2 linked regions of the Callithrix jacchus genome follow. The protein of the gene in region 1 interacts with the protein of each later gene in a pairwise test. Links are inferred from orthologs where the notes say so. Each region holds a gene or a part of one and is shown in the gene's direction. Other genes may lie near its edges. The genes, in order: MCM3AP and MCM3.

Region 1 (16,076 bases):
CAGGTATGAGCCACTGCGCCTGGCAGTCACTTTTCTTTTTCCTGCTGGCTTACCAGGGTAATTGTGGCCTTTGGGTGACGGGCATCGATCAATGGAGGCTGAACATACTGTTCTCTCTACTTTCGTGTCTATTTGAAAATTTCCAAAATTAAAATGAAAAATCACGTCTGTAATATATATACTTATATGTGCCGTAGAGCCTAGCCTGCAATATAATTAATACAGGAAATTTACGCTGGGCACTATGGCTCACACTTGTAATCCCAACACTTTGGGAAGGCCAGATCAGGAATTCAAGAGTAGCTTGGCCAACATGGTAAAACCCCTGTGTCTACTAAACGTACAAAACAACAACAACAAAAAATTAGCTGGGTGTGGTGGCTCGAGCCTGTAGTCCCAGGTACCAGGGAGGTTGAGGCACGAGAATTGCCTGAACCCAGGCAGGGGAGGTTGCAGTGAGCCGAGATGGCACCACTGCACCCCAGCCTGGGTGACAGAATAAGACTACCTCTCATTAAAAAAAAAAAAAAAAAAATACAGGAAATGTACTTTTACCTCATGAAATGGAAAAGAAAGCACATCGGTTGGGACATTTCTATCTCTGTAGATTCTATTAATGTGCTGAATCGTCTTGTTGTCAACGCAGACGATCCCCAGGTCAAATTCCTGCACTCCTAAAATCCTCCGTACAATCTCGATCTTACTGCGAAGTGGCGCTCTCCTGATGGGGATGACTCGCTGCAGATTTCTAATCACCAAGCTCATTTCAGGAAGAACAACCGGCCCTTAAAAATGTTTCCCACGGAACCTGGGTGAAAGTGTAAGAGAAGACCAGTCAGTACAAGAAAGTGACGGCACATTCTGTAAAAAAACTCATGCGCACGCAATCAAATCACTTTATTTGGTGGAAGTGACTGAAAATCTTACGGGAATTTGCATTTACCACAGGAGAACAAAAACCAGGGGCCATGGAAGGAAGACGCGGAGTCAGGCCGGAAGGACTCGAGGGGGGGGGAGCCGTTCCCGGAGACGGGGCGGGTGGGCGGTGCGCGCGAACGCCGCGAGGTGGGGAGGGAAGGGGATGGAATGGGGGAGGGACAGGAGGGGAGACAGGTGAGCGTGTGGGGTGGGGTCCTCTGGGGTCTGGGGAGCCTGCGGACCCACGCGGATGAGTGGGACGCTCCCGTTTGGGAGACTAGGAACCCGCCCGCACGTACCGGGCTCCAGACCCGGCAAAGGTCGCGGTACAAGGTGGGGCGCACCCGCCCCACCGGAAGCTCCGCCGCCTAGCAGGGTGCCGAGAGCGGAAGCCGATCGCGGCGGAACCCGGTAGTGCTGCGCGAGCCGGAAGTCGGTCCGCCGCGTTTTCCGTCCCCAGTGCGCAGTGGAGGCGTCGCGGCCACAGGCTGGGGGCTTGCGCCTCTCGTCCTTTGTAGGGGTCCGGGAGCTGCGCGGGCCCCGGGGTCCAGCGGCGAGACGGTGAGCGTGGGGGTTGGGCAGGCGCCGGAGACGACGCTTCCTTCCCCCGCGCAGCTCCGCGCGCCGGGCCCTCCCCATTATCGCTAAGGGAGCGTTGCGTCGTCGGCGGCCCTAGACGAGCCCGGGGACTGCGGCCTCCGCCTTTTCGGGCTGTGCTGGGTGGAAGATTAGGCTTCCCGGGCACGCCGTCCCCGCCGACAGGCCGCAGCTCCGTGGCAGCGCCCCGGGGGCGGGGGGGTTGCCAGGGCGAGGTAAAGGGATGCGTGAAGACGGGCTTAACGCTCCAGCCGCCCTGAGGGAAGCCGGGTGGGAGGAGACCCCGAAACGCTAACGTTCTGACTGCGTTACATTCCAGTTCTCCGGCTGTAGCGAGTGGAGGCACTCGGGAGAGATTCATCTCTAAGTCGTAAGGAGGAACAGCATTCATTTTCTTATTGCCAGTGGAGGTTTTTAATGAATTTACCAACGCAGTGATGTGGCTTTTTTTTTTTTTTGAGACGGAGTTTCTCTTGTTACCCAGGCTGGAGTGCAATGGCGCGATCTCGGCTCACCGCAACCTCCGCCTCCTGGGTTCAGGCAATTCTCCTGCCTGAGCCTCCCGAGTAGCTGGGATTACAGGCACGCGCCACCATGTCCAACTAATTTTTGTATTTTTAGTAGAGACGGGGGTTTCACCATGTTGACCAGGATGGTCTCGATCTCTTGACCTCGTGATCCACCCTCCTCGGCCTCCCAAAGTGCTGGATTACAGGCATGAGCCACCGCGCCCGGCCTTTTTTTTTTTTTTTAATCTTAAAGGATCACGCTTTAAACCTCTGTAACAAAGTAATTATTTGTACCGCTCTCTACGCCATCCTCCAACAAAAGAACCCATTGGCTCTCAGAAAATAATAGTCCTTTGAAAATAGTTATCTTTACGTGACTTTGTTCAAAAGTTCCTCTCTTAATTTTGTAGCAGAACGTAGCTGTGATGATCTGAACTTCTGTCTTTCAGCTTGTTATGAAGAGGAAGGGGAGACTGTTTCAGAAAGCCAATTAATTTCGTACACGTAATACTTATTACCTTCTAATAATTGGATCAGAAGATGAACCCAACTAATCCTTTCAGTGGGCAGCAGCCTAGTGCTTTTTCAGCATCTTCTAGTAGTTCCATAACAGCATTCCCATCCAAGGCACCGTTTCGATTTGGTCAACCTCTTTTTGGACAAAACAGTACCTTATGTGGGAAGAGCTCAGGATTTTCACAGCTATCCAGCTTTCCAGCATCTCCTGGAGTAAGTCATTCCTCTTCAGTGCAAACATTAGGGTTCACCCAAACCTCAACTGTTGGACTCTTTTCTGGACTTGACCACACATCCACCTTTGTAGCTACCTCTGGGCCTTCAAGTTCATCTGTGCTGGGAAACCCAGGATTTAGTTTTAAATCACCCACCAGTGTGGGGGCTTTCCCAAGCACTTCTACTTTTGGACAAGAAGCTGGAGACATAGTGAGTTCTGGTTTTGGGAAAACAGAATTCGGCTTTAAACCTCTGGAAAACGCAGTGTTCAAACCAATATTGGGGACTGATGCTGAGCCAGAGAAAACCCAGAGCCAAATTGCTTCTGGGTTTTTCACATTTTCCCACCCAATTAGTAGTGCACCTGGAGGCCTGACCCCTTTCTCTTTTCCTCAAGTAACAAGTAGTTCAGCTGCCAACTCGAATTTTACCTTTTCAAAACCAGTTAGTAGTAGTAATTCCTTATCTGCTTTTACCCCTGCTTTGTCAAACCCAAATGTAGAGGAAGAGAAGAGAGGACCTAAGTCAGTTTTTGGAAGTTCTAATAATAGCTTCAGTAGCTTCCCTGTGTCGTCAGCTGCAGTTTTGGGTGAACCCTTTCAGGTCAGCAAAGCAGGTGTCAGGCAGGGCTGTGAAGAAGCTGTTTCCCAAGGGGAACCACCTCCCAGCCTAATGAAAGGCCTGAAAAGGAAGGAGGACCAGGATCGTTCCCCAAGGAGACATGGCCATGAGATAGCAGAAGATTCTGATCCTCTGTCCAGGGGGGATCATCCTCCAGATAAACGACCTGTCCGCCTGAATAGACCCCGGGGAGGTACTTTGTTTGGTCGGACGATACAGGATGTTTTCAAAAGCAATAAAGAAGTAGGTCGCCTGGGCAGCAAGGAGTCCAAAAAGGACATTGGCTTTGTTGAGTCTGGAGAAAGTGACCACATGGCTACCCCAGGAGGGAGTCAGTCTCTCCTGGCACCTTCCCGGATTCCAGGTTTGAATAAAGAGGAAGAAACTGAAAGTAGAGAGAAAAAAGAAGGTGAGTTCTGAAAATGTGGAACATAGTGTAAATTCTGCTGGCAGTTTCCCAATAAGTCTCTCTGGGTGTTAGCTTGATTTTTCAGATAAGTCTCCCATAAACATTAGGGATTCTGGACTGGGCGCGGTGGCTCATGCTTAAAATCTCAGCACTTTGGGAGGCTGAAGTGGGTGGATCACGAGGTCAAGAGTTCAGGACCAGCCTGGCCAACATGGTGAAACCCCGCCTCTACTAAAAATACCAAAATTAGCCTGGTGTGGTGGCGGGCACCTGTAATCCCAGCTACTCTGGAGGCTAAGGCAGGAGAATCACTTGAACCCAGGAGGCAAAGGTTGCAGTGTGCCAAGATCGCACCACTGCACTCCAGCCTGGGCAACAGGGCGAGACTTTGTCTCAAAACAAACAAAAAAAAGTTAGGGACGCTACATGTCGTATGGAGCAGGTCTTATACCTGTGAACATTTCCTTTGCTTTTACACAGTTGGTGCCTCCTGTTGTTAGCGTTACATATGATGGTTTAAGTGTCTATTCTCTGAACCCCTAGATTCTTTAAGAGGAACTCCTGTGCATCAGAGTAAAAGAAGCCAGAGCACAGATAGTCTTGGGGGCTTGTCTCCCTCTGAAGTCACAGCAATCCAGTGCAAGAACATCCCTGACTACCTGAACAGCAGAACCGTCCTGGAGAACCATTTCGGCAAAATCGCCAAGGTGCAGCGCATCTTCACCAGGCGCAGCAAAAAGCTCGCAGTGATACATTTCTTTGATCATGTGAGTGTTTCCGTATTGCCGTGTTACCCTAGATTTCAACTACGGCACTGTAAAACTTGTTTTTTTTGGGGGGGGGGCATCATGGTTTATCAGTTATTTAATATTGGGAAATTAAATATCTTATTATTATTTTTTTTTTTTGAGATGGAGTTTCGCTATTGTTGTCCAGGCTGGAGTACAGTGGCACAATGTTGGCTCACTGAAACCTCTGCCTCCTGGGTTCAAGCAATTCTCCTGCCTCAGCCTCCCGAGTAGCTGTGATTACAGGCATGCACCACCATGTCCTGCTAGTTTTGTATTTTTTTTAAGTAGAAATGGGGTTTCTCCATGTTGGTCAGGTGACAGGTGATCTGCCCACCTTGGCCTCCCAAAGTGCTGGGATTACAGGTGTGAGCCACTTCACCCAGCCTGAAATATCTTATTCTTCTTTTTTTGACACGGGGTCTTGCATGTTGCCCTGGCTGGAGTGCAGTGGCAAGATCTTGGCTCACTGCAACCTCCACTTCCCAGGTTCAAGTGATTTTCTTGCCTCAGCCTCCTGAGTGGCTGGGATTACAGGCACCTGCCACCATGCCTGGCTAATTTATTTGTAGTAGAGACAGTGTTTCATTATATTGATTAGGCTAGTCTTGAACACCTGATCTTGAGATCCACCCACTTTGGCCTCCCATAGTGCTGGGATTAAGATGCGTGAGCCACCATGCCCAGCCAAGTATCTTATTCTTAAGATAGGCTGGGATAGCACTATTTATTTCATAACTTGGGGTATTCCATGTCCCTGCAGAATACAGTGCTCTAGAAATGCTGGGAGAGTTGTTCCCATGAAGTGAAGTTCTTCTGAAAGGCTCTGGGGTAGCTCTAACTACAGAGTAAAGTGAAGTTCTTCCGAAAGGCTTTGGGGTAGCTCTAACTACAGAGTAAAGTGAAGTTCTTCCGAAAGGCTTTGGGGTAGCTCTAACTACAGAGTAAAGTGAAGTTCTTCCGAAAGGCTTTGGGGTAGCTCTAACTACAGAGTAAAGTGAAGTTCTTCCGAAAGGCTTTGGAGTAGCTCTAACTACATAGTCCTTTTGTTGTTGTTGCTTTTGTTTCTTTTTTTGAGACAGTCTCGCTGTGTTGCCCGGGCTGGAGTGCAGTGGCACGATCTTGGTTCACTGCAACCTCTGTCTCCTGGGATCAAGTGATTCTTCCTGCCTCAGCCTGCCAAGTAGCTGGGATTGTGTGTGCACCACCATGCCTGGCTAATTTTTGTATTTTTAGTGGAGACAGGATTTCGCCATGTTGGTCAGGCTAGTCTCGAACTCCTGGCCTTAGTGGTCCATGCACCTTGACCTCCCAAAGTGCTGGGATTACAGGCATGAGCCACCATGTCTAGCCCTCTCATTTGTTTTTAAAGTCATTTTTTGCCTGTTGTAATGTGCTCATTTTCCCAGCTGAACATTAAATATTTTATGAGCTAACATGTAAATACATTGCTTTTATAGGCAGTTCATTGGTACAGACAAAGCTGAATACCCTCATCTCTCCTGTTACCAAGAGCAGTCCAGTCTCCTACTGTAGTGTGTGTTTTTCTAGACATTTTTATGAGTATCTACAAGGAGACTAAGATGTGGTTGGTTTTGTGTCTTTTTTGTGATAAATGGCATCTCGGTGTGTTATTCTGCAGCTCTCTTTTATGCTTCATTATGACTTCGAAAAATTTGTTTCTGTATATGTAATTAGCTGGTGAGAATCATCTCAGCAAATGCCGAAGAGGCCAAGTTTGTGAGTTCTCTGAGGCAAAGTTGTTAATTTAAAAAAAAGAGCAGAGCAAATAGATGCTTGTGAGACAGGTAAGGGAGGTGGACTTCTGCGGCCACAGCTGAAGGCTCTGCAGGCAGCAGATGGGGGATGGAGGTATCACTGGTGAACAGAGGACAGGGGCTCCTGGTGCTATTGAATGGACGTTTTGCTCACTGCATTTGAGTTTTCAGTCTCATTTCCTTTAGTCTCCTGATGTACTTACACTTGGCGGTTGTTTTCTAGGCATCTGCAGCCCTGGCTAGAAAGAAGGGGAAAAGTTTGCATAAAGACATGGCGATCTTTTGGCACAGGAAGAAAATAAGTGAGTTTTCAATTCTCAATTTTTAGAAAAGTATTTTTATTAATTTAATAGAGATGAGATCTCACTACATTGCCCAGGCTGATCTGGGATTACAGGCATGAGCCGCTGTGTGTGGCGTGGCCCTCTCTTCAGTTTCTCTTGCTCTGTACAAACCCTTGGAGTGTGGGCCCTTTCTCCAGCCAGTGGGGGAGGCTGGCTCTGCCTGGATTTTCATTTCACAGTTATTTCCTCGGGCTCTTCTCTGACCTCCTGTGACAATGACAAGAATATTACTTTCTCAAAAACAAAGTGAAAAAGTCCAGTACCAGGTGATCTGTGATTGCATAAACTTTTCTGCCTCATATGTTCTCAGGCCCCAATAAGAAACCCTTTTCCCTGAAGGAGAAGAAGCCTGGCGATGCTGTAGTCAGCCCGAGCCCGGAAGACACTCCGTTTCAGCACTCTCCTCTTGGCAAGGCTGCAGGGAGGGCTGGTGCTAGCAGCCTGCTGAATAAAAGGTGGGATGGCCCCTCCTAATGACCTTATTTGGGAAGGACCAGGAAATACTGCCCTACAGTGACACCTGAGTTGGGGCTGCAGGGTTGGGGGGGGGGTGTAAGGAAACAAGAGCCAGTTGTCAGGGATGCTTGGGGGTCGAGTGGCAGGGGTTCCTGAGCCTGCCCCTCCAGCCAGAATGGGCCATGTGGAGGTGGGTCTGTGTGGGTCTGGTGCTCCCAGCCAGGAGAGAGAATTTTCTGACGCTGGTACCTGCCAGCTGCAGAGAAGGTGGAGAGCAGTGATACTGTCCTGTCTTGTTCTCACATACCCTAGGGTCAAGGTTGCTGAGAAAGCCTTCCTTTGGGGCTGGCCTTTTTTTTTTTGTTTCCATCTCGGCATTTTCTATGGGAGAATCTCGTCATACAGTTGCTGTAGCTGGTGAAGGCCTTTCAGCTACAGCAGCTATCACAGGAGAACGGGGGAGGCTGCTCACTTAGGACACACAGTGCCAGCTCTGTGGGACAGACACTTGCAGCCTGGCACCCTGTGGCTGCCTGCCTCACAAGGTGTAGTAGCAGATCTCCTCGCTCACCTTACTTGTCCTGAATTCCACTGCAGTTGAGTGCAGTTCCACTTGGCATGTAAACGTATAAGCAATAACTTTTTTCCTTAAGACATCTAACTGGCTGTAATAAACCATGCATTCTTTTTTTTGTTTAATTTTTATTAAATAGAGACGGGGTCTCTCCATGTTGGCCAGGCTGGTCTCGAACTCCTGACCTCAGGTGATCCACTCGCCTTAGCCTCCCAAAGTGCTGGGATTACAGGCATGAGCCACTGCACCCGGCCTCTTTTTTTTTTTTTTGAGATGGGAGTCTTTGTTGCCCACGCTAGAGTTTGGTGGTGCAGTCTTGGCTCACTGCAACCTCTGCCTCTTGTGTTCCAAGAAGTTCTCCTGCCTCAGCCTCCCTAGTAGCTGGGATTACAGGTGCTCCACCATGCTGGCTAATATTTTTGTGTTTTTTTTGTAGAGACAGGGTTTTACTGTGTTGGCCAGGCTAGTCTCGAACTCCCGACTACAGGTGTGAGCCACCCACCTGGCCACACCGTGCATTTTTAATAATTACTTCCAGCAGTTTCCAGCATGACTTCCCCCCACCCCACTAAAAATCTGTCTCCTACAGGAAGGACAGCATGACTTTTTGTAGGTACAGGTTATCACAGTGAAACAGATGCTGTTGGCCATGTTAGTTGTGTGAGCTGGCGTGTGATGTGCGCTCCCCTGGCTGTCTTGTTCTGAAAGGCTTTTCCTTTTCACACCAGGCCTACTCTGACAGGTTTCCAGCTTAATCTGTCTTTTTATCTTTTGGCCAATGTATTTTTCTCACTTCCCATTTTGTGATGAACAGTTTAGGTGCTGCTTTGACATTCAAGTTTAGAAAATGATGAAAGCCAGAAAATGGGGAAGCTGAGAGAGGATGCCCAATTCCTTTCAGTATGTCCTTAGACCAAAATAAATTTCTGTTTTAAAACACGTAGGCATAATACTTATATTAAAGGTGTTTTTCATGCGAGTTTCATTTCTATCTGTAAGTGTTCCTTTCAGCTGTGTGAGCCTGTCTTGTTTTTTTGGAGGGGTGGTAAGGATGGAGTCTTGCTCTGTTGCCCAGGCTGGAGTGCAGCAGTGCAATTTCAGCTCGCTGCACCCTCCGCCTGCCAGACTGAAGCAAGCCTCTCACCCCAGCCTCCTGAGTAGCTGGGACTATAGGCACATGCCAGATGCCTGACTAATTTTTCAGTTTTTTGTAGAGATGAGGTCTCACTATGTTGCCCAGGCTATCTTTATTTTTCAAAAGTATGAAATATTTCAAAATTATGTTAAGGTCAGTGAATAATGTGAATAACACTTTTGTGCTTATCACCATCTTTATCAAGACCCCTCATTTTAGTGCTTGTAGTTTCTCAACTTCAGAGAACCAGAAGATCTTGAAAGATGAGAGGATATATTCAGAAATGAAAATTCTCTAAAGGCCTTACCGGTACAAGGGCCCTCAATGTGGTGTTTACTTTATAGCTCTCCAGTGAAGAAGCCAAGTCTCCTAAAGGCCCACCAATTTGAGGGAGACTCCTTTGACTCAGGCTCTGAGGGCTCCGAGGGCCTTGGGCCATGTGTGCCCCCCCTCAGCGCCCTGATAGGCACCGTGGCTGAGACGTCCAAGGAGAAGTACCGCCTGCTTGACCAGAGAGACAGGATCATGCGGCAAGGTATGATGCATGGTGGCAGAGGTTCTGGGGGCCTGGGAGGGCGTCCTCTTGGGTGCCATCAGAGTGGGAGCAGCTTCTTTCCACTGGGCTTTGTTGCTGTTGAGCCTCAGGGCCTGTGATGTGCTGTGTCTGAGCTTCATGGTTGGCCAGTCTTCCTTGGAGTGAGTGCTCTGTGTGTGTGTACATATAGGTTCAAATATGTTTGCTTATGTGTGTGTAAAATAGTAGTGGGAGCAGGCAAAGGATAGGCTCATGTCTATAGAGGGAGCAGGTTTCTTTTTTTTTTTTTTTTTTTCTTTTTTTCAATGAGTCTCGCTCTTATTGCCCAGGCTGGAGTGCAATGGTGCGATCTCAGCTCACCGAAACCTCCCTTCCTGGGTTCAAGCTATTCTTTTCCCTCGGCCTCCTGAGTAGCTGGGATTACCGGCATGTGCCACCATGCCCAGCGAATTTTTTGTATATTTAGTAGAGACAGGGTTTCACTATGTTGTCCAGGCTGGTCTGGAACTCCCGACCTTAGGTGATCCATCCACCTCCCAAAGTGCTGGGATTATAGGCATGAGCCACCACGCCTGGCCAAGAGAGTGGGTTTCTGAAGGGCAGAGGTTATGGTGTAGTGTTCCATCTCGGACAGGACATCCTTACCCTATTGGAATGTTGAACTGTGTGAATGTATTACCTACTAAAAAGAAAGTATTCCATTAACACTGAAAATACATGCAGGGAACAAAAATAAAAGGAAAAACACAGGTACTCCTCTTTGCCAATTTTTTTGTCTTAAATTTCAGCTGGGTCAGGCACAGTGGCTCACACCTGTAATCCCAGCACTTTGGGAGGCTGAGGCGTGTGGACCACCTGAGGTCAGGAGTTCAAGACCAGCTTGCCCAACATGGCAAAAACCCGTCTTTACGAAAAAAACAAAAAACAAAAAACAGAAATTAGCTAGGTACGGTGGTGTGCACCTGTAGTCCCAGCTACTTGGGAGGCTGAGGCAGGAGAATTGCTTGAACCCTCGAGGCAGAGGTTACAGTGAACTGAGATTGTCCACTGCACTCCAGCCTGGGCTGCAGGGTGAGACTCTGTCTCAAAAAAAAAAAAAAAAAAATTCAGCTATCCCTTTTTTAAAAGTTGTGGATAATTAGAATAATCACAGTGTTTCCTTACTATATGGTAACAAAAGCTGCCATCATACATTGTGTCATTGATATAGTGATTTTTATATTCCAAATAAAATCATTAGGTATTAGAATTTTTCTTTCTCTTTTTTTCCTCCTGAGATGGAGTCTTGCTCTGTTGCCCTGGCTCGAGTGCAGTGGTGCGATCTTGGCTCACTGCATTCTCCGTCTCCTGGGTTCAACCAATTCTCCTGCCTCAGCCTCCCAAGTAGTTGGGACTACAGGTGCATACAATCATACCCAGCTCATTTTTGTATTCTTAGTAGAGATGGGGTTTCATCATGTAGGCCAGGCTGGTCTCGAACTCTTAACCTCACAATCTGCCCTCCTCGGCCTCCCAAAGTACTGGGATTACAGTTGTGGTACACCAGGTATTAGAATTTTTCTTTTTCTTGGGGGGGGGGGAGGGGACGAAGTTTCACTTTTGTTGCCCAGGCTGGGTGCAATGGTGCGAACTTGGCTAACCTTCACCTCTCTGGTTCAAGTGATTCTCTTGTCTCAGCCTCCCAAGTAGCTAGGTAGCTGGGATTGTAGGCATGTGTCACCATGCCTGACTAATTTTGTATTTTTTTTTCATATGGAGTCTTGCTTTGCTGTTCAGGCTGGAGTGTAGTTGTGTGATCACACCTCACTGCAACCTTCCCCTCCCGGGTTCAAGCAATTCTCCTGCCTCAGCCTCCTGAGTAGCTGGGATTGCAGGTGCCCACCACCATGCCTGGCTAATTTTTGTATATTTAATAGAGATGGTGTTTCACCATGTTGGCAAAGCTGGTCTTAAACTCCTGACCTCTGGTGATCCTCCTGCCCCAGCCTCCCAAAGTGCTGGAATTACAGGCGTGAGCCACCACACTGGACCTAATTTGTTATTTTAGTAGAGACAGAGTTTCTCCATGTTGGTCAGGCTGGTCTTCAACTCCCAACCTCAGGTGATCCATCCACCTTGGCCTCCTAAAGTGCTGGGATTATAGGCGTGAGCCACTACTACACCAAGCTCAGGTTATAGAACTTTTTAGAATAAAAACAAGAAGTATATATTTTGAGTTGTGAAGTTGTTGCATTTCTTTTTACTTGCTAGATACATTTGTAACTATTTAATTCTAAGTGTAATCATAGCAGTTTACTTATTCAGGTAAGAACCCAGTTAACTTCCATTATGTGATTCTTACATTCAAGTCATGATGAATACTGTTTGAGAGTTTTAGAGTAGTGGTATATTTGTTTTTTTTTTTTTTTTAAGACAGAGTTTCACTCTTGTTGCCCAGGCTGGAGTGCAATGATAACAATCTCAGCTCACCGCAACCTCTGCCTCATGTGTTCAGGTGACTCTCCTGTCTCAGCCTCCCGAGAAGCTGGGATTATAGGCACCCATCACCATGCCCGGCTAATTTTTTAATTTTTTTTTTAGTAGAGACAGGGTTTCCTCATGTTGACCAGGATGGTCTTGAACTCCTGACCTCAGGTGATCTACCCGCCTCAGCCTCCCAAAGTGCTGGGATTATAGGCATGAGCCACTGCATCTGGGTTTTTTTTTTTTTTTTTTTGAGACGGGATTTCACCATCATGTTGGCCAGGATGATCTTGATCTCCTGACCTCGTGATCTGCCTGCCTCGGCCTCCCAGAGTGCTGGGATTATAGGCGTGAGCCACCGTGCCCAGCCAGTATTTGGAATATTTGCAGTTGTAACGAGTCAATCCTTCTAGTAAACATCCTGCACCATGAGAGTCTGTCATTCAGGTTATGACAGGAGTTAAAAACTTTGGTTGAAAGTGAGGCTGTGTCCCTGCTTTTAGTCTGCTGTGAGGGTCTGTGACTCCTGGAGAGTCTGCTGTGAGGGTCTGTGACTGCTGGAGAGCGGCAGACCCAGGGTTCTTTGGGAGCTTTGGTGTCCCACTCCCTGACAGAATAGACCCTAAGCCCTCTTTCTCTGAGGCTCACAGTTTAACAGATATTTTTCTTTTCCTTTGTAATGTGGGTGTGTTTTAAGTTTTAAGTTCTTTTTATCATTATGAGCGTATACTTCTGTAGGTTTATGCTAACTGTGTGGTACGTTCTTACCTTTTACTTGACGTCATTTAGCGCGGGTGAAAAGAACCGATCTGGACAAAGCGAGGACTTTCGTTGGGACCTGCTTGGATATGTGTCCCGAGAAGGAGCGGTACATGCGGGAGACCCGAAGCCAGCTGAGCGTGTTTGAAGTGATCCCTGGGACTGACCAGGTAAAGCCCTGCGTCTCCCCGCGGAGTGGAGGCTGGAGGCAGGCTGTGCAGAGGAGGCTTTTTTTGTAATTCTGTGCATACTGGATTGAGGTGTTTGCTTGTTTTAGAGGCTATTGGGTATCTGTGCCATTAACAGTCATATTCAGCTCTTTTGCATCATGAGATGTTCACTCTGTAGTTGGTACCTATACATGATAAGTTATAGAGGCAAGTTTTTTTTTTTTTGAGCCAGAGTTTCACTTTTTTCTTTTAATTTTTTTTTTTTTTTGAGCCAGAGTTTCACTTTTTTCTTTCTTTTTTTTTTTTTAAATTTTTTTTTTTTTTTTTGAGACGGAGTTTCACTCTTATTGCCCAGGTTGAAGTGCAATGGCGCGATCTCAGCTCACCACAACCTCTGCTTCCCAGGTTCAAGTGATTCTCCTGCCTCAGCCTCCTGAGTAGCTGATATTATAGGCATGCACCACCATGCCCACTAACTTTTGTGTTTTTAGTAGAGACAGGGTTTCTCCACGTTGGTCAGGCTGGTCTCGAACTTCTGACTTCAAGTGATCCACCTGCCTTGGCCTCCCAAAGTGCTGGGATTACAGACATGAGCCAGCATGCCTGACTTGCTGCAAGTTTGTTTAAATAGAGTTGTTTTTCAAATATTTATTCATTTAGAAACAGGACTTTATTCTTTCACGTTAGCTGGAGAGCAGCGGTGCAACGATGGCTCACTGTGGCCTCGACTTCCCAGGCTCAGGTGATCCTCCCACTCAGCTTACTGAGTAGCTGGGATTACAGGCATGGTCCACCATGTCCAGTTATTGTTTTATTTTTTTGTAGCAATGGGGTCATGCCGTGTTGCCCAGGCTGGTCTTGAACACCTAAGCTCAAGTGATCCACCTGCCTTCGCCTCCCAAAGTGCTGAAATTACAGGCGTGAGCCACCACATTCAGCTTTTTTCTTTTTACAATCATTCTTATCCTTTTCTATGCTTATGTTTTGCACATTCAGGAATATATTCTGGATATAATTTTATGTGTATCTTTCCCACTTAAAATTATGTCATGAACATTTTCTTTTGTTATGCTGAACTACGAGCATGTAGAAATGACAGCACATTTTATCAGTAGCTCTGTCATAGGCTGTTTGTAAATTGTTAGTTCTTTGAATAACATGAGTTGGCGTCTTGTGTGTTTCTCTGGTGTTGAGATTACTTTGTTCAGACCCTAGGAATTAAATTACTGCATTGGAGGCTTTGACCTTTCCCGAAGATTATCCGTGTATCTTCCCCAGTTGCTTCCCTAGGAAGCTGCACCAATTTAGATCCTTTGCACTTTGTGAATTTTGCTTGTGGGCTTCTCTTTCTCTTTCTGGCTGGTGGCTTTATACACCCTTCACCCAGTGCAGTGTCCCCAGACCAGCAGCAGGTGTGGGGCCCCTGCTGCAGGAGAAAGTACATGCTCAGGGCCTCATCCTGCGGATGTCTCTGCGTCTCCTCTTGGCCATGTTGTCAACCTCCTTTTGAGGTGGGAGATGCAGCTCCAGGCCCCAGATGAGCAGCTGGCCCCTCCTGCTGTGCCCTCAACAGTCCTCACTGCCTGTCTCTGTTTCACTTCTGGTCTGTGTAGACTTCAGCTGCTGTGTGAGCAGCGCTGAGACCTGTTCAGTGCTTTGAGGCCCTTCCCTGTCCTGTCTCTGCTTTGGCGCGTGCAGATGTGCCTTCATCTACATTCCTCCCGTTTGTCATGACACACTGCTGTCTTAACTCCTTGTGGTATTTGCCAAATCAAATTTCTCAATGTATTTTGCCTTTGAATTCTGTCACTTTTTAAAAGAAATTTATGTTGAAAAAAATGTGTTCTCAAAAAAAAAATTATGTTCTCAAATATTGATCTGTGTGGGCATGTATGTGATTTTCCCTCATTTTCAGGCATAAGCGTGCCTGGCCCAAGATGTTTCTCATGGGCAGCCCATCTCTGCTTTGTGTCCCTAGGTGGACCATGCAGCAGCCGTGAAAGAGTACAGCCGGTCCTCAGCTGATCAGGAGGAGCCTCTGCCCCACGAGCTGCGGCCCTTGGCAGTGCTCAGCAGGACTATGGATTACCTGGTGACCCAGATCATGGATCAGAAGGAGGGCAGCCTGCGGGACTGGTACGACTTCGTTTGGAACCGCACACGTGGCATACGGAAGGTATAGGCGGCTTCCAACCTGGACACTAAAAAATGCATGCAAATTTCAAAGTCACACTGATAGTTTTTATTATTTTACTCAGTTACGTATTTTATCTGTAATAAAAGTATACCTTCATGGGCAGGGTGCAGTGGCTCACACCTGTAATCCCAGCACTCTTGGAGGCCGAGGTGGGTGGATCACCTGAGGTCATAAGTTTGAGACCAGCCTGGCCAACATGGTGAATCCCAGTCTCTACTGAAAATACAAAAATTAGCTGGGTGTGGCTAGGTATGGTGGCTCATGGCTGTAATCCCAGCACTTTGGAAGGCCGTGGTGGGCGGTTCACGAGGTCAGGAGTTCGAGAACAGCCAGGCCAACACAGTGAAAACCCATCTCTACAAAAAATTAGCCGTGTGTGGTGGTAGGCACCTGCAATCCCAGCTGCTGAGGAGGCTGAGGCAGGAGAATCACTTGAACCTGGGAGGTGGAGGTTGCAGTGAGCTGAGGTCATGCCACTGTATTCCAGCTTGGATGACAGAGCTAGACTCTGTCTCAAAAAAAAAAAAAAGAAATTAGCCGGGTATGGTGGTACACACCTATAAAGTGCCAGCTACTCAAGAGGCTGAGCCAGGAGAATTGCTTGAATCCGGGAGGGGGAGGTTGTGGTGAGCCAAGACCGCACCACTGCACTCCAGCCTGGGTGACAGCAAGACCCTGTCTCAAGAAAAAACAAGTACTTTTATTCAAATCACTACAAAGTCTATTAAAACGTGCATCATGGGCTTCGTTTCATATTGAAATGTGAGAAATTGAGGTCATAGCATGATCTTTCTCATAGCTGACTCTCTGCATGGGAATGTGTGTATGATCCTCCCCCTCGCCTGTGGCCAGGATATCACGCAGCAGCACCTCTGTGACCCGCTGACGGTGTCCCTGATTGAGAAGTGCACCCGATTTCACATCCACTGTGCCCACTTCATGTGTGAGGAGCCTATGTCTTCCTTTGATGCTAAGATCAATAATGAGAACCTGACCAAGTGCCTGCAGAGCCTGAAGGAGATGTACCAGGACCTGAGAAACAAGGGCATCTTCTGTGCCAGCGAAGCGGAGTTCCAGGGCTACAATGTTCT
Region 2 (16,176 bases), on another chromosome or scaffold:
TCTTTCTCTGTCGTCCAGGCTGGAGTGCGGTAGCATGATCTTGGCTCCCTGCAACCTCCATCTCCCGGGTTCAAGTGATTCTACTGCCTCAGCCTTCCGAGTATCTGGGATTACAGGCATGCAGCATCATGCCTGGCTAATTTTGTATTTTTAGTAGAGACGGGGTTTCTCCATGTTGGTTAGGTTGGTCTTGATCTCCCATTCTCAGGCGATCTGCCTGCCTTGGCCTCCCAAAGTGCTGGGATTACAGGCATGAGCCACCGTGCCTGGCCCTTTTGTATCTTTTAAAATGTGGCTACTGTAAAACTTGAGTAATATATGCATCTCACATTATATTTCTATCGGGCAGCATTGATCTAAAAAAGTCTGTTCCAGAACAGAATTAGGTATACAGATGCTAAACTAATACTTGATTGGTTGGTATGACTAAAGCTCTTCATCATTTTTAAAAACATTTATTTATTTATTCCCCTACAATGCCGATATACATCATTTTGTTACATTAAGGCACTGTATCTTTAAAAATGCATGCTTACAACAAATCTAGACAAATTTACAAAATGGAGTTATTATTTGAGCATTTCATATGCTGTATTCATGTTCGCTCAATATGTTTTTTTTTTTTTTTAGATGGAGTTTCACTCTTGTTGCCCAGGCTGGAGTGCAATGGCTCATTCTCGGCTCACCACAATCTCCGCCTCCTGGGTTCAAACGATTCTCCTGTCTCAGCCTCCCAAGTAGCTGGGATTACAGGTATGTGCCACCATGCCCGGCTAATTTTTTTTGTATTTAGTAGAGACAGAGTTTCACCATGTTGGCCAGTATGGTCTCGATCTCTTGACCTCGTGATCCACCCACCTCGGCCTCCCAAAGTGCTGGGATTACAGGCGTGAGCCACCGCGCCTGGCTACTCAATTCACTTTTAGTAATTTCCTTCTGTAAATCTCTGTGGCTCTAAGCACTGAAGTAAAGCTCTTCAGAGCATCACTAAAGACTTGTACAATTAAGACTGGGGTCTGGGCATGTTGGCTCACACCAAGGTGGGAGGATCATTTGAGGCCAGGAGTTTGAGACCATTCTGAGCAGCATAATGAGAACCCATCTCTCAGGATAAAAAAAAAAAAAAAAAAAAAAAAAAAAGAATGGAGATGACATCTCAGGGAACTAAGAAATCAGATTACTGAAATTAACCTTGGCAAATACCAACAAACTGCTAATTGTTGGCAAGCCAACTGTGTTGTTACATTTAATGGGAAAATCAGGATCAATTATTTTCTCTGTCTGGCTCCTGGATTTTCCTGCTCTTTTTAGCATATCTAACCAGGCCTCCAGGAAGCAACAAATGAATGCAAAAGGGAGACATGAAAGGTGATCAGGCTCTTTATTCACTTATTTATTTTTAAGACGGAGTTCACTCTTGTCACCCAGGCTGGAGTGCAATGGTGTGACGTTGACTCAATGCAACCTCTGTCTCCTGGGTTCAAGCGATTATCCTGCTTCAGCCTTCTGAGTAGCTGAGATTACAGGTGCCTGCCACCACGACTAGCTAATTTTTTGTATTTTTGGTAGAGATGGGGTTTCTCCATGTTGGCCAGGTTGGTCTTAAACTCCTGACCTCAAGTGATCCACCTTAGCCTCCCAAAGTGCTGGGATTACAGGTGTGAGCCACCAACTGTACCTGGCCGATCAGACACTTTTAAAAGAGTTTTCTAAAAAAGTCCATTAAGTATTCCATAATGTTCCTTGAGCATGGAGTAAATGCATCTGATGGCTTCCAACACTGGTAGAATCAGAGCCAAACAATAACCTGCCTATGTCATTTTTTTGGCCAATTGGACTTCCAGCAGAAAAAGGTCTCATTCACGAAGTGTCTGGATTGGTTGTGTTATAAGTTTTTTGGTGGAAGTGGGAAGGGGGCTTGAATTCAGTTGTCTGAATTGTTCCAGAATACACTACAGTGCTTGCTCCCCTTCTCCTATCCGTTGACTCCTCTCCAACTACCATCCACCACCACTATCAATAGTTAACATTTATGTAATGCTTAATAAATACCTGACACCTTTTTCAGTATTTTACATCTGTTATGACTTCACTGGATACTTAAACCTTTATTTGAGCGAGATATTACTAACCTAATTTGAAAGGTGAAAAACTGAGACACAGAGTAAGATGTATCTGTATATATGGCACAGATAATATACAGAGCAGCCAGAAAGAGTACCAAATCTGCCTGTCTTGGTGCTTGACACTCTAGATGCCATAGCATCTGAAGATTCTGATCTCACACTGTGGAACTGCTAGTTTAGGGCAAGCCTGTGCCTGCAGATGATTCCTTGAGCTGCTGTGACACCTGGAGGCATAGATTTTCTCACCTCCAAGCTTTGGTGGTTTCTGAGTAAATGTCAAATGGCTACTAATGAATTATGGCACTTTCCTGAGTACCTAAACAGGTTATCAATCACAGGGTATTATTTGAAATGTTTTGCAACATATAATGTTCATTGGTTTGAACAAAGGTATATATAATTTCGTGTCAGTAATATGTATTATGGATTTGTATTGTGCCTTTGGGTATTTTTTGGACCCTGTGGACCTAGAAGAATGGAAGTATTACATCTATTTTGCAATCTCTTTGCAATCTTGTTTTCTTTTTACTGTCATCCTTTATATTCTGCTCTCCAGGGAGCCCCCTAGTGTTTAGGTAGCCTTGGAGATGGGCTTGAGTCCATCAAAGTGTAAGGTGGACTCACGCCTGTAATCCCAGGACTTTGAGAGGCTGAGGTGGGCGGATCACGAGGTCAAGAGTTTGAGACCATCCTGGACAACATAGTGAAACCCCATCTCTACTAAAAATACAAAAATTAGCCGGGCGTGGTGGCACGCGCCTGTGGTCCTGGCTACTCCGGAGGCTGAGGCAGAAGAATTGCTTGAACCCAGGAGGCGGAGGTTGCGGTGAGCTGAGACTGAGCCACTGCACTCCAGCCTGGTGACAGAGCAAGACTCCAGCTCAAAAAAAAAAAAAAAAAAAAAAAAAAATCTAGGGTGGAAAGAAAATTGAAACTGAGGAAAGCAGGAATGTGACCCAAGTATGGAAACTAGATATACTACTTTATTAGGTGATATGTGCTTTTTAATTTTGAATCAGGATAGAGGAAGGCCACGGGGTAAGCTCAGCTTGACTCTATATGAGATATGTTCAAATGCCCTAATTACTCTGCAGCAACAACCTGATTGGTTTTGGGCAGTTTGTAGGTATGGGGGATCCAAAGGAAACACATTTCCTCTGTTTAAAGATTTCATGCCTGGCCGGGCGCGGTGGCTCACGCCTATAATCACTTTGGGAGGCTGAGGCGGGTGGATCACGAGGTTAAGAGATTGAGACCATACTAGTCAACGTGATGAAACCCCCGACTCTACTAAAAATACAAAAAAAAATTAGCTGGGCATGGTAGTGCACGCCTGTAGTCCCAGCTACCTGGGAGGCTGAGGCAGGAGAATTGCTTGAACCCAGGAGGCGGAGGTTGCGGTGAGCCGAGATTGCGCCATTGCACTCCAGCCTGGGTAACAAGAGCGAAACTCTGTCTCAAAAAAAAAAAAGATTTCATGCCCTAATGAAAGAAGGGAGAAACACCAATTAAATACAGGTGTGTCCTTCACAACTGAAGATGATGACATTAGGACAAATCAAGTCTTTATCAAAGACCATGGCATAATTAATTCATTAAATAGAATTGTCATTACATAGTTTCCAAATTTGCCATTAGCTCATGGAATGTTAGAGTAAGCCATATTATCAGAGATATTCTACTTCAGTTTCTTCATCTTATACTGTATATAAGGAAACCAGCCCAGAAAAAAGTGGAGAATAAAAGATATGGTTTTCAGATTTCCACTCCTTCAGACTTTCCACTGCAAATTACTTGACTTCTCTTCTAGTTTGAACTAAGCTTCCCGGTTCTTTTAGTATTAATTTCAAATTGTTTCCAGAGCAGAGTTTATCTCAGTACTGTGTCCAATAAATTCATAAGAGTTATGATCAAGTGATAAAAAGTCTTAAGTAAATCAGCAATTACTTCTTGCTATATAACTGCAAACAGGATCTTTATTCTAGATTTTTTCTTTTTTTTTTTGCCCATTAATATACACAAAAGCAAGCAGTCAAATAGCCTTTTTGCTTTGGCTAAGGATAGATTTATCTGCCTACTAGGATGGCACAAAACATGTAATAACTACAAATTGCATAACTAGAAATACATATACCCACACAGATAGATGGCATATATATTTCGTTTAGGCAGATTATTCTTAGAATATTTATCGGTACATAGTGAGTCCTGAAGACTTTCAAACACAAGCTAATTATCAGTTGGCTGAAATTTCAGATAACAAGTTATCAACTGTCTGGTGTTGGGCAATCTGGTATTTTAGCTTCTTGTTCAGTAAAATTAAAAACATATGCTGGGGCAATGGGCATGCTCTTTACTGTGTAGAGTGGTTACATGGGTGTTAACAGGTAAAAATTCATTGAGCTGAAGATTTGTGCATTTTACTGTATATAGATTATACCTCAAAATAAAACTAAAAAATAATAAAAACCCGACGAGGACGGACTAAAAACTAACATACAAATTTGGATATGCAATGATCTTTTAATGATTACAACCATTTAACCATTGATTTTTAATCAAAGGCGGCATGAAACACTATTTCCCCCTTTGTGTTGATCATTCAGTAAGCTAAGTTGCTTAATAGGATCCTGTTATCTTTTTTTTTTTTTGAGACGGAGTTACGCTCTTGTTACCCAGGCCGGAGTGCAATGGCGCGATCTCGGCTCACCGCAACCTCCGCCTCCTGGGTTCAGGCAATTCTCCTGCCTCAGCCTCCTGAGTAGCTGGGATTATAGGCACCATGCCCAGCTAATTTTTGCATTTTTAGTAGAGACGGGGTTTCACCATGTTGACCAGGATGGTCTCGATCTCTTGACCTCGTGATCCACCCGCCTCAGCCTCCCAAAGTGCTGGGATTACAGGCTTGAGCCACCGCGCCCGGCCGGATCCTGTTATCTTTTTATAAGACCAGAAAGTCTTTAATTTACCCGTTACTAAATCAGAGGGAGTAGTAACTGTTTCCAGAATTTGTATAACACAGGCTGCGGTCTCTAAGGGGCGTGGTAAATACCGAATTTTTTTGTTCACTTCATCATCCTCCGCTGCCTCATGTCTTTATGGGGTTCTTCAGGCCACGGTTATCAGACAGCAAATAGGTCAACTAAATAATCTTTCCCTAAGATGCTATAGTTCTATATTCTATTCTATAGATTCTCAAAATCCACTTTTCCACTAGGATGCCCCTTGAGGGCAGTTCTGATTTGGATACATCTTAAAAATTATTTTTAAAAAATGTTATAAACCACCATCCTCTGACGTTTTGTTTACTTTCAAGGAAAGTCCTACTGCTAGCCAGAATTTGGTCACTGCCTCGGGTCAAAACTTTTGCAGCTTGAAAAGACCCTGCAAAATATCCGGGAAAGAGGGAGAACGCTCCTAGAACGCAGCGCTTTCCTTGTCTCCAGGCCGCGCCCTCCAGCTACCCAATGACCGGCCTCCGTGAACCTCCTCTCGGCCCTATTGGTTAGTTTGCTAGTCAGTGAGGCGGGTGGAGGTGGGAGGGGAGGAACCTAGAATCCCGGATGGTACGTTTCCCTCCACCGGGAGGCGCCCAGCGGAAACCCGGAGAAGAATAAGCTTTTGATTGGACAGTTGCTATTCTGGCGTCAGAGAATTCAGCCAATCATAATGTTTATATGCTCCCAGGGTCCCCGCCTCTTCCTCTAGGTAACTTTTGGTGGCGGGAAAAGTTCGTAAGTTTCCCGTGGGGGTGGAGTGATCCTTGGAACCTCCGCGCTGCTTTGGTAGAGTTAGTTCTTCGGCGGCGGGCATGGCAGGTACCGTGGTGCTGGACGATGTGGAGCTGCGGGAGGCCCAGAGAGATTACCTGGACTTCCTGGATGATGAGGTGAGGGAGGCGCAGGCGCGCGGGCTCTAGCGCTCGGAGTCCATGCGGACGCGGCCCGGCCAGGCCCGCCAGACCTCCAGACCGTGTGCTTTTCCGGAGCCTGCCGGCCCGAGCCTCCCGCCCCAATCTTGTAGTTCTCTCGCTGAACTTGCTAGTTTGTGTTCCATAAGCGAACTCTCAGGAAGCGATCCTTTAACTTTGTCCTGAGTACAAGCGATGTTCCGGGCGCGCGAAAGGCGACAGGTTCCCATTAAGTGCAAGCAGAATGGCAAACCCCCACCTTGGCCTTTTGCACTTCACTCCCAGCTCTCTCTTGATTTGGGGAGATTGCGGGCTAGGGAATGAATGCCCTAGGGCTGTAGTGATCAGCCGCGTTGCAGGGTGCTCAGATTTTAGGGACTGACTTTTTACCTGGAGAAAAAGACTTCCTAATTCGGCTGCACTGTTTTTCAGTACCAACTAAGATGCAGATAAAAAGTGTTTTGTATGCAGGCTAAGGGGATTTCATGTGCAACCCAAGACTTAAAGCCGTAAATGTTGAAAAACCATTCTGAAGGGTTGATGATGTAACCAGATAGCAGAGATTCTCTATTTTAGGCAAGGAACACTTGCTGTGTTACAGAAATGATAGGGAAAAATATTACTTCTGTACATAATTCTTAAGTGAAAAGCCATCTCAATGTGAATATTAAGAGTGTTTAATTTACATTTTTATTGTGTACAAAATGTACAAATATATACACTTAAATTTGTATGCTACATATAAATATAGCATACATTGATAATGTATACATTGATATACATAGTGAAATGTGTTAATGTATACTATATACAGTGTGCAAATTAACATATCCATCTGTTCACATTGTTACGTTTTACGTTTACTTACATTTTAACAAAGTTTGCATTTATTGTCCTTTTAGACTTTTCATGAGCTCATTTTAATTCTTCACTAAAGACAGAAATGACAGCATGCAGAAAAGTTGTCCATGAGGATGGGAATAACAGCATGGACCTTGAGGAAGTCATTATAATTCTTACAGTTCCCTCTTAGGGTGTATTTCAAATCTGAAAATAGTGAATGAAAGGGAAACATTGATGAGCATATACTTGGGATTCAGCTCTGCTGCAGTGATTAATGTAGTTATCTGGCTATGAGAACTGTGTCTGTTAGAAACAATTTGTTTTTGAATTTGTGGCTATTGTGATATGTGGTGGCTGTTTTGCAGGAAGACCAGGGAATTTATCAGAGCAAAGTTCGGGAGCTGATCAGTGAGAACCAATACCGGCTGATTGTCAATGTGAATGACCTGCGCAGGAAAAACGAGAAGAGGGCTAACCGGTGAGTGGCAAGGGGATATAATGGTCCCCAATGAGAATGGCTCCCTTCCCTCCAGATTGGAACAGCCTCCCAGGAGAGGACATGTATGAAACAGGATTGATCTAGAAGCCTTCATAGCTCACCTGCATCTATTTATTTTTCTTCCAAAAAGTAGGTGGTTGGCATTTTCCTCCCAAATACCCTCCTTCCAATGCTTAGCTGAGTATGATTTTTATATATTTGATAAGTTGAATTAAAGTTGGTCCTTAGTTCTGGTATTCTGCTGAGTCTTATAGGATGGCAGGAGAAAGCAGAAGCTGGATTGTCTCATTGTTCTTAATGATTCAAGAATAGTTGCTGTTTTGAGAATGCATTTTTTAAAATAGTTCTGCCCTGTCTCCCTAATTTTTCTCTCTCTTGTCCATGTACAGGCTCCTGAACAATGCCTTTGAGGAGCTGGTTGCCTTCCAGCGGGCCTTAAAGGATTTTGTGGCTTCCATTGATGCTACCTATGCGAAGCAGTATGAGGAGTTCTACATAGGATTGGAGGGCAGCTTTGGCTCCAAGCACGTCTCCCCGCGGACTCTTACCTCTTGTTTCCTCAGCTGTGTGGTCTGTGTGGAGGGCATTGTCACTAAATGTAAGTGGATTAAAGGGGGCCACTAAGGAAATGAAGGTAGAATAGACTGAAGGAGATGGGGAAAGCAGGAAGGGCAAGGTAGATCTGGGTAGCTTGTGGCTTCAAAGAAGTGGAGCATTGGAATTATGTGGTAAAACTTCGAGAGGCTCAGTGCACAATGTTTAGGGGGATCTTGAGTAACCACTTGAGTTAGTAGAATGATGAATTCTGCTGAATGCTGGAGGAGTCTTGGTTCGTGGCAATCTCTTATCTCAACCCCTAACTCTACCTATTAGTTGGAATTGGTAGTACTTAAACTTTTACATGGATATGGTGGTGGTCTATATATAAATAAAAAGTGAATAAAAGGTAATATTGAAATAGGTTAATCCTGTCAAAAGAACACAGTGTTTGGAGTCATCATAGGCTTACATAGGTTTGGGTCCCACCTGTGTCATTGTCTAGTTGGGTGACTTTATGCACATTTTTCATTCGTAGGTTCTCTAGTTCGTCCCAAAGTCGTCCGCAGTGTCCACTACTGTCCTGCTACTAAGAAGACCATAGAACGACGTTACTCTGATCTCACCACCCTGGTGGCCTTTCCCTCCAGCTCTGTCTATCCCACTAAGGTAGGGGGGATACATTCAGCCTTCTTGGGGGTTGGAGTCAAAGATTCCAAAGGCAAGGAATTGTGTAATATTTGAAGTCTTTTTTCTATAAAGGGTGAAAAAACAAGGACTAATCCAAAGGAAAGATTGATTGCAGGCCAGAGTTTAATATGAAAATCTCACAATTCTTACTTGTTTATTTTTAAAGATGAGGTCCTCCTATGTTGCCTCGGCTGGGGTGCAGTGGCTATTCACAGGTGTAATCATGGTGCACTAAATTCTCAAACTCCTAGGCCAAGTGATCTTCCTGAGTAGTTGGGATTACAGGTATGTGCTACGACACCTGGCTTCCTAATTCTTATTTTTTTTTAGAGATAGGATCTCAGTCTCTCAGGCTGGAGTGCAGTGGTATGATTATAGGTCACTGCAGCCTCAAACTCCTGGACTCAAGGAATCCTCCCACCTTAGCCTCCTGAGTACCTGGGATTGTGGGCATGCACCGCCATGCTAATTTTTTTCACTTTTTATAGATGTGGGATCTCACTATGTTGCCCAGGCTAGCCTTGAAGTCCTAGCCTCAAGTAATCCTCCTGTTTGCATCTTCCAAAGTATTGAGATTATAGACATGAACCATCATGTCCAGCCACAGCTCTTCTTATTTTTTTAAGAAGACACTTGTTCACTTTAGAAAATTATGGAGTAGTCATCTACATAGATGTTTTAACAAAGTTATAATCAAATAATTTTATGATCTGCTTTTTAAAAAGTAGAAAAATAATGCTAGACTGTTAGGTAATCTTTACAAATATTTTGTTGTGGGTTTGGGAGAAGGCTGGCATAGGAAAAAGCTTTCTTTATTCTTAGTGTTCAGATTGATCTGGATTGAGGACAATGCAAGGCTTTCCTCAGGAGACAAAAGATCGTTCATATTGATTACTTGATGTCTGAAATCATTCTATCAGAGAATTCCTCTCCTCCTCTCATCAAATTTTAATTGAGAAGTACTGTATTCAAAGCACTGTTAAGCCCTGTGGAGGACAAGGATATAAATTAGACCAGTCCTCATCATCAGTCTTCGAAGTGGTGGAGAAATGAAACATATAAACAAAAACAAGAATGAATATCTTAGAATTATCATACCTTAAACATACATTAGCATCATTTAGTCTACCTCCAGATGAAATGCTGAGATCAGAGAAGTTAAATGATTCGCTTATTGTCCCAGTTAGTGATGGCCTTAAGGACTAGGACCTGTGTCTCTTTAGTATCTTTTTTTTTTTTTGAGATAGAGTCTAGCTCTTGTTGCCCAGGCTAGAGTACAGTGGCCTGATCTTAGCTCATTGCAATCTTCACTTCCTGTGTTCAAGCGATTCTTCTGCCTCAGCCTCCTGAGTAGCTGGGATTGCAGGTGCCTGCCACCCCAGCTGGCTAATTTTTGTACTTTTAGTAGAGATGGGGGTTTCACCATGTTAGCCAGGCTGATCTCGAACTTTTGACCTCAGGTGATCTGCCCACCCTTGGCCTCCCAAAGTGCTGGGATTACGGGCATGATCCACTGTACCCAGCCTGCCAGTTGTATTTTCTAAGTCATTCTGATGTCTTTGGACCTTAAGGTGTCCACTTTTCTAGAATTTCCTCTTTAGGAAATACTCAGGGAGTACTCCTTTGTTGATTACTGTGGCCAAGCTTCTTTGTTCAAAAAGTGAAATACATTGGATCAGATATTCTGGAGGTTGTTTAGGCTGGTGCTTAAGAATGTGGGCTTTGGAGTTCACATTTGTGTCTAGTCCAGACTCTGCTACTTAACTGTGTTACCTGGGGGAACTTCTTTCATCTCTCTAGTATCCTGGTTTCCTTGTCCATGATGTGTGAAAAATACTTTCTTTATAAAGTTGTGAAAATTACATGAGATAATTTTGTGAAGTAGTAGCACAGTGCCTGGCACATAGCAAGCACTCAATAAGTGACAACTGTTTTTAGAAAATTCAAATGTCAAGGAAGTAAAACTTTAATAGACATATAGAAAAGCTCACATAAGTATGGTTTGATGACGTTTTACAAGCTGAGTATATCTGTGTAACCAGCATCCAAATGAGGAAATGAAACATTAGCACTCAAAAGTCCGTCTTGAGGGCTCATGTTACCCAAGAGTAACCACTATTCTGATGTTTTAACAGCATAGATTACTTTTGCCTGTTTTTCTGTTGTATTTAAATACTCTTGTGTTGGGCTTCTTTTGCTCAACATTGTGTTTATGAGCAACTTTGTGTTTATGAGATTTATCCATGTTGCGGATAGGTGTTTTTCATACATTTTTATTGCTATATAGTATTCATTTATGCAAATATACTGTGTTTATTTAACCGTTATACTATTGATGGCATTTTAAAATTGTAAAATATTTGACTATTAGGCATAATGCTGCTACGAGCATTATAGTTTATGATTTTGGGTGAATATTTCTGTTCGGTATTACTTAGGAGTGAAAAAACTGCTTCAGAATCTAAGCATATATTCAGCTTTAGAGGGGAAGTAAGAATCTTAATTTAGATGTTAATATAACCTAGTCCATTCAGACTAGGGGTTGCCCCTTCCATTCAACGATTTATGACTAAAACAGACAGGAACAGAAAAAGCTAGAGAAGGTGGCATTTTTAAGACAGGACTGAGATCACTCTACCCCTCTGTGTGTCTTTTTCTAGGATGAGGAGAACAATCCCCTTGAGACAGAATATGGCCTGTCTGTTTACAAGGATCACCAGACCGTTACCATCCAGGAGATGCCGGAGAAGGCCCCAGCCGGCCAGCTCCCCCGCTCTGTGGATGTCATTCTGGATGATGACTTGGTGGATAAAGTGAAGCCTGGTGACCGAGTTCAGGTGGTGGGAACCTACCGTTGCCTTCCTGGAAAGAAGGGAGGCTATACCTCTGGGACCTTCAGGTAAAAGGTCTGCCTTAAAGTGTATGGAATGCTGTTGACAGCTTCTATTTCTGGTAATATCCTTTCTTCAGTTTGCTGTATTACAGATTACAACAGAGAGTTGTATCTGTGAGATGGAGCGCTCTCTCTGTCTGGGAGACAGGATACCTTCAGTACCTTTTTTCTGTCAGATAAAGCTGGTGATACTTACCATCATATGCCAAAAATAAGACTTATTTGTGACAATGATTATAGTCTTCATGGCTTTCCTGGGAGTTTCTCATGTAATTATACTTAGTCCCCATACACAGTGTCTGAAGCTCTGTTGGTCAATTTCAGAGGAGGGGCATGATCAGCATATTTGGGTCACAGACAGAACCAGTTGTTTAATTCACAAGTTACCCCCCACCCAATCAACTCTGATCTGCTGGTCTAGTTTGGTAGCCTAAAAAGGCTTACTCTTGCTGGGGTACTAGCTACCGATGTTAGGAATTGAATATAATAGCCTTCCTCTTTATTCTCTTTGTCCCAGGACTGTCCTGATTGCCTGTAATGTGAAGCAGATGAGCAAGGACGCTCAGCCTTCTTTCTCTGCTGAGGATATAGCCAAGATCAAGAAGTTCAGTAAAACCCGATCCAAGGTCTGGGCATTCATTTTGTTTTTTTTGAGACAGAGTCTTACTCTGTTGCCAGGCACCAGGTTGGAGTGCAGTGGCAAGGTCTCGGCTCACTGCAACCTCCGCCTCCTGGGTTCAAGCAATTCTCCTGCCTCAGCCTCCCAAGTAGCTGGGACTACAGGTGCACTCCACCATGCCCAGCTAATTTTTGTATTTAAGTAGAGACGAGGTTTCACCATGTTGGCCAGGATGGTCTTGATCTCTTCACCTTGTGATGCTCCCGCCTTGGCCTCCCAAAGTGCTGGGATTATAGGCGTGAGCCACCGTGCCCGGCTGGTCTGGGCATTCTTTAATATTTGAGGGTGGGAATGGATTTCTAAGAGTTGTGTTTTGGTGCATGGCTGTTTTTGTACTAGATCAGAAGGAAGGGTTGAAGTTTTTTTCTCTAAAGTATTTGGTGTTAGCTTCTTCTATTTTTGTCCCAATCAACAAGTGAAAGGGTGTTTTTGCTGTTTGCTCTTTAATCATTCTTTGTTATTAAACAGAATTTTAATACCTGCTACCTGTTGGGCTGCTAAATGAGCCTAATACAAATATTAGGATAGAAGTTAACTTATCAGTTAATAAATAGTGTACCAATAAGTAATAAATAGTGTACCAATTCAGTAATAGTGTACCAATTCAGTAATAGTGTACCAATAAGTAATAGTGTACCAATAAGTAATAAATAGTGTACCAATAAGTAATAAATAGTGTACCAATTCAGTAATAGTGTACCAATTCAGTAATAAATAGTGTACCAATAAGTAATAAATAGTGTACCAATAAGTAATAAATAGTGTACCAATAAGTAAATAGTGTACCAATAAGTAATAGTGTACCAATTCAGTAATAGTGTACCAATAAGTAATAGTGTACCAATAAGTAATAGTGTACCAATAAGTAATAAATAGTGTACCAATAAGTAAATAGTGTACCAATAAGTAATAAATAGTGTACCAATTCAGTAATAGTGTACCAATAAGTAATAAATAGTGTACCAATAAGTAATAAATAGTGTACCAATTCAGTAATAGTGTACCAATAAGTAATAAATAGTGTACTAATAAGTAATAGTGTACCAATAAGTAATAAATAGTGTACCAATTCAGTAATAGTGTACCAATAAGTAATAAATAGTGTACCAATTTAGTAATAAATAGTGTACCAATTCAGTAATAGTGTACCAGTAAGTAATAGTGTACCAATTTAGTAATAAATAGTGTACCAATTCAGTAATAGTGTACCAATAAGTAATAAATAGTGTACCAATAAGTAATAAATAGTGTACCAATAAGTAATAAATAGTGTACCAATTCAGTAACAGTGTACCAATAAGTAATAGTGTACCAATTCAGTAATAAATAGTGTACCAATAAGTAATAAATAGTGTACCAATAAGTAATAAATAGTGTACCAATTCAGTAATAGTGTACCAATAAGTCTATTTATTACTGAAGACATTAGTGATGCATTACTAAAATTAAACATTTTTTCTTTGTTTTAGTTCTTCAACTTGTTTTTCTTTTTAAAGATAGGATGTATACCCACATTTAGAATTGAACTACATATATGAATGTGTGATGATAAAGGTTACCGCTCAAGCATAGTACATATTCTTATTAAACCTAAAATGTTTTGAACCTGGGGCTGCTTTTTTTCCCTTGAAGATTAAACCTCTAAACAGGTTTCAGAATCCAGGCTGCCTCTGTGCCTACTCTGATAATGGCCCGATAATGTGATTTGTCTTAGAGCAGAAGCTTTTGCACTTAGGAACAATGTACATGTTTGTATATTTCTTCAAGTATTTTCTGTAGGCCAAAGTATATGAAGTGGAGCTCCACAAAGTTCCATTGAATTTCACTAGGCTTGCCATTGGTTATTTCTCCTGTAGGATATCTTTGACCAGCTGGCCAGGTCATTGGCCCCTAGTATCCATGGGCATGACTATGTCAAGAAAGCAATCCTCTGCTTGCTCTTGGGAGGGGTGGAACGAGACCTAGAAAATGGCAGCCACATCCGTGGGGACATCAATATTCTTCTAATAGGTACGATGTTGGAGATCTGCTTTAGACTCTTGTTTTTTTGGAATATGGTTTTAGAGACCTATAATATGTAAGATTGTATATTCTGTATTTGGCAGTATTTCAGTCCTATCAAAGGAAAAAAGGCTAAAGTGAATCTTTTTATTTTTAAATTGTGTCTGGAATTCCTGATTTATAGTATATAAAATATATTCTTCCATGAATGGTAAAGGGAAAAGTGAAGGAAATATTTTTGAAAGCCAATTACCATATGACTCTGTTGTGTCAAGAGCTGTGCTAGAAAGGCCGAACTTGCTGGGGTTGCTGGGGAGTTTCCTAGCAAGTCATCACTGCCCCTACCCTACAGGAGACCCATCGGTTGCCAAGTCTCAGCTTCTGCGGTACGTGCTTTGCACTGCACCCCGGGCTATCCCCACCACTGGCCGGGGCTCCTCTGGAGTGGGTCTGACAGCTGCTGTCACCACAGACCAGGAAACAGGTAAGGGTGTAAGGGTCCTTGGCAAAGGCCCAGCAAAGAAACTGAGCATAGATCCATTGTGTGCCCCTGCCTGTGTTCTGAAAATACATTCGAGAGGTTATTTGGTGCATGATTGTAGAGGACTGAGTATTCAGCAATGATGGATGATTTATTCAAGTCTTTGGTGTTCATCTATTTACAGGAATGTTTTTTATTTGAAAGGAGAAAGGCTTAGCACATTAGAAAGGCAATAAAAATGAAGATTGTACTATTTTATGAACTAGAAGAAGGGATTTGGAGACCAGTTAAGAGAGAGCAGAGGTCTAGCTGGGATATTACTTGAGGATGATGCTGATGAGAGAATCTATAAAGGAAATTTGTGAGAAGTTAGTTACTTAAGGGTCAAAGTGGGACAAAAAGATGCTAATATTTAGGTTTGAGCTGAAAAGGTGACCCACCAGGGTTCCCTTTAAGTTTCTTGGAGCCAAGACACCTTTGCTGAATTCTTAATTGTAAAGTGAGAGATTCCTAGGAATGAGATTCAAATCCCTTGCTTCTGGCCCCTATAACCTAGACTATGGCACATATGTTTACCTTTTCACTTCCCAGGGGAGCGCCGTCTAGAAGCGGGGGCCATGGTCCTGGCTGACCGAGGCGTGGTTTGCATTGATGAATTTGACAAAATGTCTGACATGGATCGCACAGCCATCCATGAAGTGATGGAGCAGGGTCGAGTGACCATCGCCAAGGCTGGCATCCATGCTCGGCTGAATGCCCGCTGCAGTGTTTTGGCAGCTGCCAACCCTGTCTACGGCAGGGTAAGTGGAATCAGGCCCCAATCATTGTCCTCACCTTCATTTGGTTTTGCTAACTGGGCCAAGAAGTGTATTCTAGATGACCCGGGGGAATAGTAGGGCAAAGACTAAAGTAAGGTCATTTTCTTGTTACCGTCCTTTGTTTAGAGCAGTGTTCCTCATGCAATCCTGCACAGCAGAACCCCCTGGAAAGTTTCTTATTTTAAAGTAACTTCTTAACAATACAGTTAAACAGTCTATTTAATGTATTTAACAGTCCATTAAATAAAAACACTACATGCACGTGGCGGGAGAATTTCTAAACAGAACAGAGATACAGTATGAAAACGAAAAGACTCACTTCTCTCCCTTCTCCCTTTGCCAAGAGATGACAGCTTTAAAGTGTTTCAGGAAACAAAATTTAAGCATGTACCAGCAGATAAACTATTTCCTCGTTAAGTAAGATCTCTTTATCTTTATTTTTATCATGACCATGATGTGCCTAGATACAGTCTTTTTATATTTGTCTGTGCTTGGGGTTTGCTGAGTTTTTCTTTTAAAGAAATAGATTTCTGGTATTCCATCATAGGGATTTATTTAACTCATCTCCATTTGATAGGTATTTAGTGGTTTCCTTTTTTCTTCCTATTATGAATGAAGCTGTAGTGGCCATCCTTTTATGTGTGTTTTGTTTTAGATTTGGGAATATATCTATAGTGTAAATACCTAGCAATGAAATTA

Evidence for each region.
Region 2: the proteins of MCM3AP (region 1) and MCM3 interact in a two-hybrid assay, tested with the Homo sapiens proteins (2 studies listed by BioGRID). The link is inferred for Callithrix jacchus from reciprocal best matches to the Homo sapiens genes MCM3AP and MCM3.

Annotation. Positions count from the first base shown.
Region 1 is NC_133522.1:51,860,500-51,876,575, reverse strand, and holds the start of MCM3AP (germinal-center associated nuclear protein), read left to right. Parts: upstream 1-1,376; 5' UTR 1,377-1,479; intron 1,480-1,834; exon of another isoform or gene 1,835-1,885; intron 1,886-2,473; 5' UTR 2,474-2,564; coding exon 2,565-3,786; intron 3,787-4,329; coding exon 4,330-4,553; intron 4,554-6,575; coding exon 6,576-6,654; intron 6,655-7,006; coding exon 7,007-7,151; intron 7,152-9,205; coding exon 9,206-9,396; intron 9,397-12,648; coding exon 12,649-12,788; intron 12,789-14,766; coding exon 14,767-14,964; intron 14,965-15,837; coding exon 15,838-16,076. Other genes in the region: endoribonuclease YbeY, read right to left, coding at 556-765.
Region 2 is NC_133505.1:60,616,566-60,632,741, reverse strand, and holds the start of MCM3 (DNA replication licensing factor MCM3), read left to right. Parts: upstream 1-5,820; 5' UTR 5,821-5,937; coding exon 5,938-6,015; intron 6,016-7,244; coding exon 7,245-7,357; intron 7,358-7,767; coding exon 7,768-7,976; intron 7,977-8,453; coding exon 8,454-8,584; intron 8,585-11,265; coding exon 11,266-11,504; intron 11,505-12,015; coding exon 12,016-12,124; intron 12,125-14,033; coding exon 14,034-14,187; intron 14,188-14,530; coding exon 14,531-14,662; intron 14,663-15,250; coding exon 15,251-15,459; intron 15,460-16,176. UniProt on the Homo sapiens protein: Acts as a component of the MCM2-7 complex (MCM complex) which is the replicative helicase essential for 'once per cell cycle' DNA replication initiation and elongation in eukaryotic cells.